3 linked regions of the Oryctolagus cuniculus genome follow. The protein of the gene in region 3 interacts with the protein of the main gene of each other region in a biochemical or structural test. Links are inferred from orthologs where the notes say so. Each region holds a gene or a part of one and is shown on either strand. Other genes may lie near its edges.

Region 1 (3,645 bases), on a different chromosome or scaffold from region 3:
ATACACAGGGCATTTTGTCTTCCATTTAATTTCTTAAAATAAATGTGTTTCAGGAATGGCCAACAGAGTATATGTTGTTTCTGCATGTATTAAACATGCACAGAAACATTAAAGTAAACTCACATGGACGATTAGCTCATTTACAGCAAAGGAAAATAAAATAAAATACGATACTTTGAAACAGATATCATAAGCCTGCTGACCTGTGAAGTGAGTGGGATTCTTTCTTAGCAAGGGAATCCTTCGGGGTTGCAAAGTTTGGTCTTAAAATATGCTTAGATCTGATGACACATCCATGAAGAAGAAAGACATTCCACTTTCTTGGTAAATTCCTGGCAAAGGGGGCTATTTCACAGCCGTACCCACTGCTGCGTCGTCCTTGCTGGATTGGAGCACTCCCAGCCCTCTCCCCTGCTTACCACAGTTGGCTGTCACACATAGAAGTCAAGGCCTGAGATAACGGGTGAAGATAGGACAACAGTGGACATGTTTCCCAGGAACGGGGGTTTCATAAATGCAGGAAGATTAGCACAGCCACTGGTGTGAGGGGAAGTCAGAGGACGTGATCATAGTTCATGGGAACCAGCAATGCAGGATGGGCTACATTCAATTTAGTTTCCTTTGCAGGCTTAAAATAGAGCCATTGTAAATTATGTCAGTCTTTCTCAAATCATGAAAATGATTGTTAAAAAAAGTCTCAGAATACACAATGTGCATTGTTATGTGGCTTTGATGTGTGAATGATGAGAGTGTATGATATAATGCTAATTAAATAACAGTAGAGCAGGCACAGATATTCTCTTCAAGGGGAGAGGTATTAAAGTGAAATTTCTGGATGAGGGAAAGGCCGTTCTATTTTGTCTTGGGTCCTACGATGTAGAATTCTTTAACTTGTCTAAAATTAAAAGGGTTCCTTTTATGCTTCATACCTAATATATCTTAAGACTTGTGATTTTTTTTAAAGATTCTATTAGTGTCATTATTGGGTGGGGAGTCAGTGCATGCTGGAATTTGACTTTTTCGGAAAGATTTAAATACACAAATATTATGCAAAATATTGTGCAGTGGGGGAATGACAAAATCTTTAAATATATATATATATATATATGGAATATTTGTGCTGCCTGGAGACATTTGTCAGGTTGGATGCCTTGCTTTGGAATCTAGTAAAATGGGGGTTTTCTGTGTTTGGAGCATCCAGATTGTACCCCCGATATCTTTTCCTGGCTTCTTAATTGAAATTTGGGGTAAACCAATTGTGATACTTGCTAAATTCAGAAGCAATTGCCATAAAGCCTGAGATTCTTTTTTGTTGTTTGCACACAGGTGAGGTCTGCCATAAATCCTATACTCAGTTTTCAAACCTTTGTCGACATAAGCGCATGCATGCTGATTGCAGAACCCAAATCAAGTGCAAAGACTGTGGACAAATGTTCAGCACTACGTCTTCCTTAAATAAACACAGGAGGTTTTGTGAGGGCAAGAACCATTTTGCGGCAGGTGGATTTTTTGGCCAAGGCATTTCACTTCCTGGAACCCCAGCTATGGATAAAACGTCCATGGTTAATATGAGTCATGCCAACCCGGGCCTTGCTGACTATTTTGGCGCCAATAGGCATCCTGCTGGTCTTACCTTTCCAACAGCTCCTGGATTTTCTTTTAGCTTCCCTGGTCTGTTTCCTTCCGGCTTGTACCACAGGCCTCCTTTGATACCTGCTAGTTCTCCTGTTAAAGGACTATCAAGTACTGAACAGACAAACAAAAGTCAAAGTCCCCTCATGACACATCCTCAGATACTGCCAGCTACACAGGATATTTTGAAGGCACTCTCTAAACACCCACCTGTAGGGGACAATAAGCCAGTGGAGCTCCAGGCCGAGAGGTCCTCTGAAGAGAGGCCCCTTGAGAAAATCAGTGACCAGTCAGAGAGTAGTGACCTTGATGATGTCAGTACACCAAGTGGCAGTGACCTGGAAACCACCTCGGGCTCTGATCTGGAAAGTGACATTGAAAGTGATAAAGAAAAATTTAAAGAAAATGGTAAAATGTTCAAAGACAAAGTAAGCCCTCTGCAGAATCTGGCTTCAATAAATAATAAGAAAGAATACAGCAATCATTCCATTTTCTCACCATCTTTAGAGGAGCAAACTGCGGTGTCAGGAGCTGTGAATGATTCTATAAAGGCTATTGCTTCTATTGCTGAAAAATACTTTGGTTCAACAGGACTGGTGGGGCTGCAAGACAAAAAAGTTGGAGCTTTACCTTACCCTTCCATGTTTCCCCTCCCATTTTTTCCAGCATTCTCTCAATCAATGTACCCATTTCCTGATAGAGACTTGAGATCGTTACCTTTGAAAATGGAACCCCAATCACCAAATGAAGTAAAGAAACTGCAGAAGGGCAGCTCTGAGTCCCCCTTTGATCTCACCACTAAACGAAAGGATGAGAAGCCCTTGACTCCAGTCCCTTCCAAGCCTCCAGCCACGCCTGCCACAAGCCAAGACCAGCCCCTGGATCTAAGTATGGGCAGTAGGAGTAGAGCCAGTGGGACGAAGCTAACTGAGCCTCGGAAAAACCATGTGTTTGGGGAAAAGAAAGGCAACAATGTTGAATCAAGACCAGCTTCAGATGGTTCCTTGCAACATGCCAGGCCCACTCCTTTCTTTATGGACCCTATTTACAGGTAAGGGCCAGTAGGAGATGATGAAATGTGAGTGCAGATACGAAAGGTGGTTTTAACACTACAAACTCCCATCTTCCCCAAAAGGTTTTTTATTATTATTATTATTATGAGAGAGTCAAGTTGTTTGATCTAGTGAAATCTGTTTTTTTTTTTTTTTAATTCAGAAAATTGGCTCTGTAGGTTTCGACTCATTTTTGGATATCTCTGAGTTTGGAATAAGCCAACAGAATTTCTTTCCCATGACAATAAATTTATTTTTAAACATTGTTTTTTTGGAGTGGAAAATATGTAAAAGTTGTATTTGAAGTGATTTGTCAAGTGGCAGAAGAATGATACTCCTGGAGGATTAATGCAAACATGTATGGGTACCTTTATATGCAAGAGTCTACTCTGTGTTAACCCATCAACACATCCTTTGCATCTGTTCTGTTTCTCAATAGATTTCTTAAGAGCTCTAAGTAAATGTAATGTTAATCACAAAAATCTGTTTTGTATATAACATGAGTAGTTCTCCTAAAAGAATCTCTATTTTTTACAATGATTTATTTATTTATATGAAAGGAAGAGAGAGAGAGAGAGGTCTTCCATCCATTGGTTCACTCTCCAAATGACCACAACAGCCGGAGCAGGGCCCATATGAAGCCAGGAGCCTGGATCTTCTTCCAGGTCTCCCATGTGGGTGCAGGGGCCCAAAGACTTGGACCATTTTCTACTACTTTTCCAAGCACGTTAGCAGAGAGCTAGATCAGAAGTGGAGCAGCCAGGACTTGAACTAGAGCCCATATGGGATGCAGCACTGCAGGTGGCGTGTTCACCCACAACGCCACAATGCCGGGCCCAGAATCTATATTTAATGGCTTAATTATTCAGGTTTGTTTATGAATCCAAAAATTCTTTAGGTGAAATTACGTATTTAATAAAATACCTCTTAGGCAGTATTCTGCAATAGTTACTTAACCATT
Region 2 (3,745 bases), on a different chromosome or scaffold from region 3:
AGAGTTCAAGCTGAGGGGGGGGGGGGGAGGCAGGGGTGAGGGTCAATGATTGTATGAATTCCTCATTCTCTTCTCTGCTCCCCTCGACAGAGAGAGAGAGAGAGAGAGAGAGACCTATAGAGTTGGCCACCCTGCTGGGTACCACCACCAAGAATCCCCACATCTGCCAGCCCTCTCCCGTCCTCAACCCCCCGTCCCTAAGAGTCAGAATAATGGGTGCCTGGATCCCAATCCCCTCACTCTAACAATCACTTGTAACAACCACCTGAGCACGAGGAAAAGCAAAGGAGTTAGGAATGCCAATTCACTTGACACAAGGATCCCTGACTCTGCAGTCAAAGTCCTCCCAGCCCCCACACCCTCTACTGTTTTCCTGACAGTTGAATGTGAGCCCACATGCGTGTACACACACACACACACACACACACCAGGTGGGGGCATCCCTCAGCCAGAACAGTCCCTTGTAAACACAACACTGACTGCATCCCAAAGAGAACCCGGGGTCTGTGATTTGCTTTACGTAAGAAGCTACCACTTCCCAAAGGAGTTTTTTCCCAGCCCCAGCCAGAGTTCATGGGCTGCCAACACACACCCAAATATAAAAATGGAAATATCAAAGACTTCCACACTCTGGGTTTGCACGAGGGGGATCGATCTAAGTGGATGATCTGCTTTATAGAGCATTCTTTTCTTTTCTTCACCGCAGGAGCCGGCCCTGCCCTCACCTGCTTTTTTTTTTTTTTTCAGAGATCAAAACACAACCTCCCCCCACCCCAACACCAACACCCACTGGCACACAAAGTAAGAAGTCATAAACGCCCCTCCCTTTCAAGTCTGCCCACTGCTGTGATCCAGGCTGTTACAAAGGAGTTCAAAGGCACTGAACTGATATATACTGAGAGGCTCCTGCTCAGCCCTCCGCGCTGGGTGCCAGGACCCTGGCATGGGGGGGCCACTACCACGCACGTGCACCCTGGAATTTAGTCCAAGACTTTCAGTCCCTCAGAGATTGTGACTTCACTTGACAAGAATTCTCTCCCCTCCCCAAGGATCTGTCTTCCTTCCTCTCCTCACCCTCAGATGGGGCCCTAAAACCACCCAGGAAGAGGAAGCTCCCGGAGCCGCTGAGCTCAGCACAATCCCGGGCAGAGAGAAGAGGCAAAGCCCCCTCCCAGGAACACACACACACACACACCCTGCACACAAGTTGGAAGAGAGGGGCGCGGGGTGGGGGGGAGTGGGCAAGGGTGTGGACAGGAGGGCTGGGACTCCAAGGCCCACTAGATGAGAGGAGGCCAGCAAAGACCCACCCAGGCAGGGACAGCGTAGTCGGTACTCACTCCAGCTCTAGAAGGGAGTCAAGATCACCTCCCCAGGAAGGGAGGGATGGACAGGGAGGGCGAGATCAACAGCAGAGGGGTGTGTGGGCAGGGCCGCCTGAGTGACAATAGCAACAAGACCCTCTGGGTTCCCAAATAAGGTCTGAGGCTTTTTCTGGGCTAAGAGGTAACATCATCCCCATGCCCTCAAGTCTGCCAGGCCGCTTCCCATTCAAGCCCCTAAGGAGTATGGGAAGAGGGCTTTCCCACTATCCCTGAGATCTGCCCCGGCTGGCTGGGTGGGCAGAGGTGAAAGGATTGTTATGCCCAAGTCTTGCTGAATGTTTTGCTCTTCTAGCTCGTTCACGCATACTCATTCACACGGCACATCGGAGACACCCCCAAACCGACCCGATTCATGTTAGTCCCAAACACAGCTACCAGCCACTGGGAGTCACCAAGCTGCCAAGACAGCACCTGTGTCCCCCCCCCCCAGGACCCCTTCACCAACACTGAAGGAAAAAGATTCCAGGATTTCCTTAAAATCAGTGCTTCGGCTGACAGTGTCCCCTCAAATTCATTCCCCTCACACCCGGCCCAAAGACGTCAGATTCATCCTATAACCAGAATCCCAGTCCCCCAAGTTCACCAGGTTCTGGATACTCCAGAATCCGACCCTCTAGGCTCAGTCAAGAGCCCCCCGAATCTGCACTCCCACTACTGCTTTAAGCCTCGGTCAGGCAGGCCACTGCCGGATTCCTTAGGTGCCCCCCCACCCAAGACGGGTACCCCGATGTCCTCAAGGGCTAGGCCAAGGGCCTAGAATCCTAGTCTGGAGTTCCCGCTGCCCCCAGATCAGACCCCAGTCTGCACTCCCGGCCCCAGGCGGCCCCGCACCTGAGCAGCTGGGCCGAGTCGGCTGGCCTGCGCTCCTCCAATAGCACGAACACGGCTCGGGGGCCCTCCGCGCTGGCCTCTACGCCGTCCCGAGCTGGCTCGGCCGCATGAGACATGACGCCCGGTCCCGGGCGAGCCCTGCCAGGCCGGTCGGGCCTCGGCCCGGTCCCCCTAACAAAATAAGAGTCCCCTTCCCCCCGCTCGCCACCGCCTCCTCCTCTGCTAAGCCATGGAGCCAGTTCTGCGCGGGCGGGCGGCGTCGGAGAGATGGGATGGGCCGTGAGTCATCCCCCGCCCTGAACGGACCGACACCCCCCCAACCTAACCCCGGACGACCGCCCTCCTCCCCCTCGTCCTCTTCCCCCTCCTCCCGGGGCTGGGGAAACTCCACAGGAAGTGACCACACAGGCGATGGACGGCTCATCGGGCCACACCCCCTAGTGAGGCGGCCTATCTCTGAGTGCGGTTCGAAGGCCCACCCTAAGCCACGCCTCCTACGCGAAGGGAAAACTACATTTGGCCCAGCCTCGTTCCGAGAAGGGAGCACCTAGGCCCCGCCTTCAGTGGCAGGAGCAAATAGGCAAAATGTAATTTGCTTAAGCCACACCTCCTGCTTGCATCACTTTCTGAGCCGCTCCCCCTCCTCTCAAATTATTCCACCTCCCCGCACAACATTAAGCCGCTCCTAGACTGCCCCGCGCCTGCGCGCTGGTGACCGGTCGGCGCCTAAAGGGTGTCTAGGTCAAGTTTACGGCTGTGGAAGTGCGCTCCCTCCCGGCCAACATTTGTAATAATTTGCGCCCTAGACTGCGCTCCAGCCTGGATCTTGCCTTGCTCCCTGGCCAAAGCCATAACTATGAGGCAGAGGCAGCGACATTCCCTGCAAGTGCGGGTCAGAAACTCCGCCCTCAGTACTCGCAGTCCAGCCGCCCATCTGGGCTTCTAGGGAGCCTTGCGCCTTTGCACGGCATCTAGAGCGGTTGTTGTACTATGGTCGTTGTGCCACGCAGTAGATGCTTAATAAATCCTTAACAGATGGATGGATGGATGGACAGATGGATGAGATTTAGATCTGGTCCCGCCGGTGATTGACTTCTGGGATCATAAGGAGCCCCTCTGCTAGCCTTAGCTTTTCTGGCTTGTCAAGGGGTTCATACCCCCTGTCTGGCAGGGTTGTTGGGATTAGTGATAAATCATGAAAAGCACTAGCAGGTTGTTTGGCATACAAGAAGCCCTCCAGAAACTGTTTAGCTCATTTGTTCGTTCATCCAACGTGTATTAAGCCCCTCCAACTACCATTGGTGTTACACGCAGTGGAAGCTCCTGTTCATATTTTCAGGTGCACATAGCTTGCAGAACACCTTGTACACCTAAGCTTCTTTCTTCAGCTGGGCCTGCGGAAACCGGGCTTCTGTTTGCCTTGCACCTTCTTGTGGCTAGCACTTTTATTTCCCAGATCTGTCCATTGGCTTGATAAACAAGCCGATCTATGCGTGCACATACAACCTCCATGTAATAAAGATGACAGT
Region 3 (3,745 bases):
CCTCCCACCGCCCACCCCAGCTGACACAGCTCCAGCCTTGGGCCGAGCCTTGGGCCGAGCGAGCCTCAGCCTTCCAAGTGCTCAGCAGCACAGGGCGGCAGAAGGCGCAGCCCCTGGATCAAGCCTGCCCACCTCCCTGCTCCAGTGTTCTCCGCTTGGAAAATGAGATCATCTCCAGCCCGGCTGCCTTATCTGTTTTCCAGGCATGGGTCTCTTTCTTCGAGGACCTCGTAAAACCACGTGAAAGTGCTTTGTAAACTGTAGAACACTTTGCACAGCTGCCTGTTTTATAACCCATCCCACCCCCACCCCACTGCCCATTTCCACGAATAAATTAAGCCTGTGTGTCCTCCACCCACCCAGGCAAACATGGAGCAGGAGAGAAGCACCCCCCCAAGACCCCCATTCTACCGGTGGGGCCCCCACCAAAGGGATAAAAAAGAATTAAAAACCAGAGGCGGGCCCAAAACCCAAGTTTCTCTGCCCATCCCATTACACCACCTCCTCTGAAGTCCACTCTGGCTCCCGACCCCCGGCCCACAGTGCCTTCCCCACAAAGCACACCGCCTCTCTTGACTGGATCCACCCATTTTAGGGGAAAGAAAAAAAAAAAGCACAACTCACTACTTCTTAAGTCAGCCCTGCCACCATGCCCAGCATTTATTTGCAGGGGAGGCCTGCCCTGCGTTCCTGCGGACAGATGTTGCTTTGTGCCTGCCTCACACAGCTGGCAGCCCTTGCACAGCTGCCCCAAGCAGGTGGCCAAGGACAGAGGAGTCCACCCGTGCCCAGAAGCGAGGCTGACAGTCCCTGCGGGGCCATTCCTCATTCCTCTGCAGCCCGGGACCCCCCAGGCTGCGGCGTCCCCACCACCCGCGCCCGCCCCACTTGGGTCAGAACCGGACTCCAAATAGGGCTGAGAAGCAGAGACGCAGGGCCAAGCCCTCCCCCCCCCCCCCCATCTTCCCACCCCGATCTCCAAGCAGGCGCGGCTGAGCGCTGGAAGGCCCCGGGGTGTCAGAAGTCACTGACCCTTCCATCAGCCATCTGTGAGCGCCCGCCAGCCTCGGCTCGCGCCGGGCAAGGATAAAGGCGGTCCCGACAGATGGCAAAGCGCTTTGAGAGTGAGGGCTCCACAGGAATGCGAAGGCGGACGCGAGGCCCACTCCGGGGCGGCTGTGTCTGCGCGGCTCCAGCCCCCCTCTCCGTTCTGCACCGATCTGCAGCGTCTCAGACCACAATGGAGGGCAAAGGTGCGGGCAGGGCGGCGGGCTCACGGAGAAGACCCCGTGGCCTTGCCACTCGCACCTCCCGTTTCGAAGAAGTCAGAGCCCTGCGCAGCAACTCCAGGGCGTGCGCGCACAGCGGGGCGGGAGGCTGGCACAACCCAGTCTAAAAATACTCGATACAAATGCTAATCCCAAAGGCAAAGAAAGAGCGAAGAAGGCATCTGTCCATCACGCGGCTAGGGCTCCGCACCCACCGCCCCAGCTGTACCGACTGCATTCCTGCAGAGGCGGAAAGACGCGAGGGGACCCGGCCGCCGCGGAGAATGGCAGCTACACCTCCGCGAGCGCGGGCCGCGGGGGCGGGAGGCGGCGGCGGCGGGGGAGGGGCTCCCGCCCGCGGAGCCGAACAAAGCGGGCCTCAACTTGGACTCGGTAGCTCCCCGGGCTGGGGGCGGCCGATCCCAGCAACACCACCACCACCACCAGCGCCCGCCCCCGCCCCAAACCCGCCGCACCCCCATCCCGGAGGTGGAAAGCGAAGGTGCGGTCTGGAAGCCAGAGTGCCGCGTGGAAGCCTCGCGCTCCCAGAAGGAGGTTTTGTTTGGGGTCTCCCTCCCCCACCCCCCGGCCAGGCTCCCGCTGCCCCGCGCACGCCCGCGGGTCCCGGCTCTCCACCCGCGCCGCGCCAAGGGGGCTGGGCCGGCGCAACCCCGGGCCCCCACCTGGGGATGGTGATGCACTTGGTGTTGACGTTCTGCGTGGTGATGGCCTTCTCCAGCTCGTCCAGCTGCCCCGTCTTCTTGAGCTTCTTAACCAGGCTCTTGACCGCCTTCTCACACCACTTCTCCTCCTGCCCGTTCTGCTCGCCCTTCTTCCAGCCCAGCAGGCGCTTCACGATCGGCGGGGTGAAGGGCAGGATGGACGACATGGCTGGGGAGGGCGCGCGGGCGGCGAGGGGGCGCCCCCGGCGGGGCTGGGCGCGGCGGGGCGCCGGGGGCGCAAGAAGGGAGCTCGGCTCGGGCCGGCCGCGGCCGCCCCAAACTTCGCCTCAACTCCGGGCGAACTTGCCCCGTGCGCAGGGCCGGGCCGCGGCGCTGCAGCCTGCGGGGCTCGGCGCGCGGCCCTGCGCGCGAGCGAACGGCTCCCACGGGGCGGAGAAGGGCGGCCGGCGGGCGAGCGGGCGGGCGGGCGGCGGCGCTGGGTCGGGAAGGCCCCGAGCGTGGGGCGGAGGCAGCGGCCGCGAGGCTCGGAGTGGCAGCACAAAGTTTGGGTTTCCGCACGGGGTAGCTGTTTGGGTGCCGCCTCCGGGAAGGAAAGTCCAGCCCCCAGCCAAACTTTGCTCGCCTCGCTCGCTTTGATGCGCAGATCCCTCCGCCTCTGCGGCCTCGCCTCCCCGCTTCCCTCCTCCTCCTCCTCCCGGCGCGCTCGTTCGCTCGCGGGGCCGGCCCGGGGCGTGCGCGGCGCTCCCGCTCCCGCCCGCTCCCAGTCTATGTTTCATGCAAATCCGCGTGCAGCCTCCCGGCCTAGCGCTGTCACCGCCCCCTCGCCGCCCGGGCTCCCCGCCTCCTCCCCCGGGCGCCCTGCCCGCCCCTGCTCCGCCGAGGCCGCCCGGCCTTCCCCCGCCCCGCGCCGAGCGCGCCCACGTGGGCGACCGGGGGCGGCGACGGGCCCGGCTGGAGCGCGCCGTACCCCGCGCGGCCGCGGCCCGCAGCCGAGCGTGCGCGGGGGAGGAAGTCCCGGGAAACGGGCGGGCGGAGGGGCCCCAGGCGGGGGCCCGAGCTCGGTTGGAGTCGCGGGCAGGACGGGGGCGAGGAGGCGCCGTCGGACCTTGAGCGGACTCCGACTCGAGGCCGAGGGGGTCGGGGCGCGCACTTAGTCTCGTGTGTGCCGATCCTGGGCAGGGGTCTTGGCAGGCGCCCGCGACCCAGGGGCTTGTGAGGTCACACCGAGACTGCGGAGCGGGAGCTGAGAGAGGGGACACTGGGCCCTGGGAAATGGCGTTTGCGAGGACTCGGGTGACAGCGCGCACAATAGCTGAGGGGGGGGGTTCCCTTGAGCCTTGTGAACCAAGTACTTGGCAGCAAAAGGGCCTCAAAAGACATCTGTTGAGTTCGTGAAGGAATGAACGGGGGCGCGTTAGAATGTGTCTCTGGGTGAAAGTCACATTACCGGGTGTTGCACACTCAGAGACAGCTAGATCCGAAATCTGAAACCCCCGCACTAAAGTGCTGAGTTCTCCGGGAGCTGAGGCACTCAGCGCCCCCCCACACACACACACACCGGGGGAGGGGGCGGGCTCCTAGCTTTCCTCCCCACCCGCAGAATCCAGGAGCCCTTCCTCGGGGCTGTCTGGAGTTACCCCAGCGCCTGCCTTTGCAGGGGCCTCCCCTGTGAGGCCACCCTGGTGGGTAAGGCCTTTGTTTGTTTTTAACAGCAGGAAACCCCCAGTGGTGAGAAAGAAGTTATCTGCAAACCCTCAAGTGGTGGGAAGTTACAAAGCCCTGTGAGGTGTGGCC

What was found.
Region 1: the proteins of SMAD3 (region 3) and MECOM form a complex in vitro, tested with the Homo sapiens proteins (2 studies listed by BioGRID). The link is inferred for Oryctolagus cuniculus from reciprocal best matches to the Homo sapiens genes SMAD3 and MECOM.
Region 2: the proteins of SMAD3 (region 3) and TFE3 form a complex in vitro, tested with the Homo sapiens proteins (2 studies listed by BioGRID). The link is inferred for Oryctolagus cuniculus from reciprocal best matches to the Homo sapiens genes SMAD3 and TFE3.

The regions. Positions count from the first base shown.
Region 1 is NC_091435.1:111,194,881-111,198,525, forward strand, and holds part of MECOM (histone-lysine N-methyltransferase MECOM), read left to right. Parts: intron 1-1,326; coding exon 1,327-2,683; intron 2,684-3,645.
Region 2 is NC_091453.1:34,191,021-34,194,765, forward strand, and holds the start of TFE3 (transcription factor E3), read right to left. Parts: upstream 2,644-3,745; 5' UTR 2,333-2,643; coding exon 2,217-2,332; intron 1,363-2,216; exon of another isoform or gene 1,341-1,362; intron 11-1,340; coding exon 1-10. UniProt on the Homo sapiens protein: Transcription factor that acts as a master regulator of lysosomal biogenesis and immune response.
Region 3 is NC_091443.1:89,858,352-89,862,096, reverse strand, and holds the start of SMAD3 (mothers against decapentaplegic homolog 3), read right to left. Parts: upstream 2,714-3,745; 5' UTR 2,158-2,713; coding exon 1,952-2,157; intron 1,581-1,951; exon of another isoform or gene 1,498-1,580; intron 1,438-1,497; exon of another isoform or gene 1,041-1,437; coding exon of another isoform or gene 1,033-1,040; intron 1-1,032. UniProt on the Homo sapiens protein: Receptor-regulated SMAD (R-SMAD) that is an intracellular signal transducer and transcriptional modulator activated by TGF-beta (transforming growth factor) and activin type 1 receptor kinases.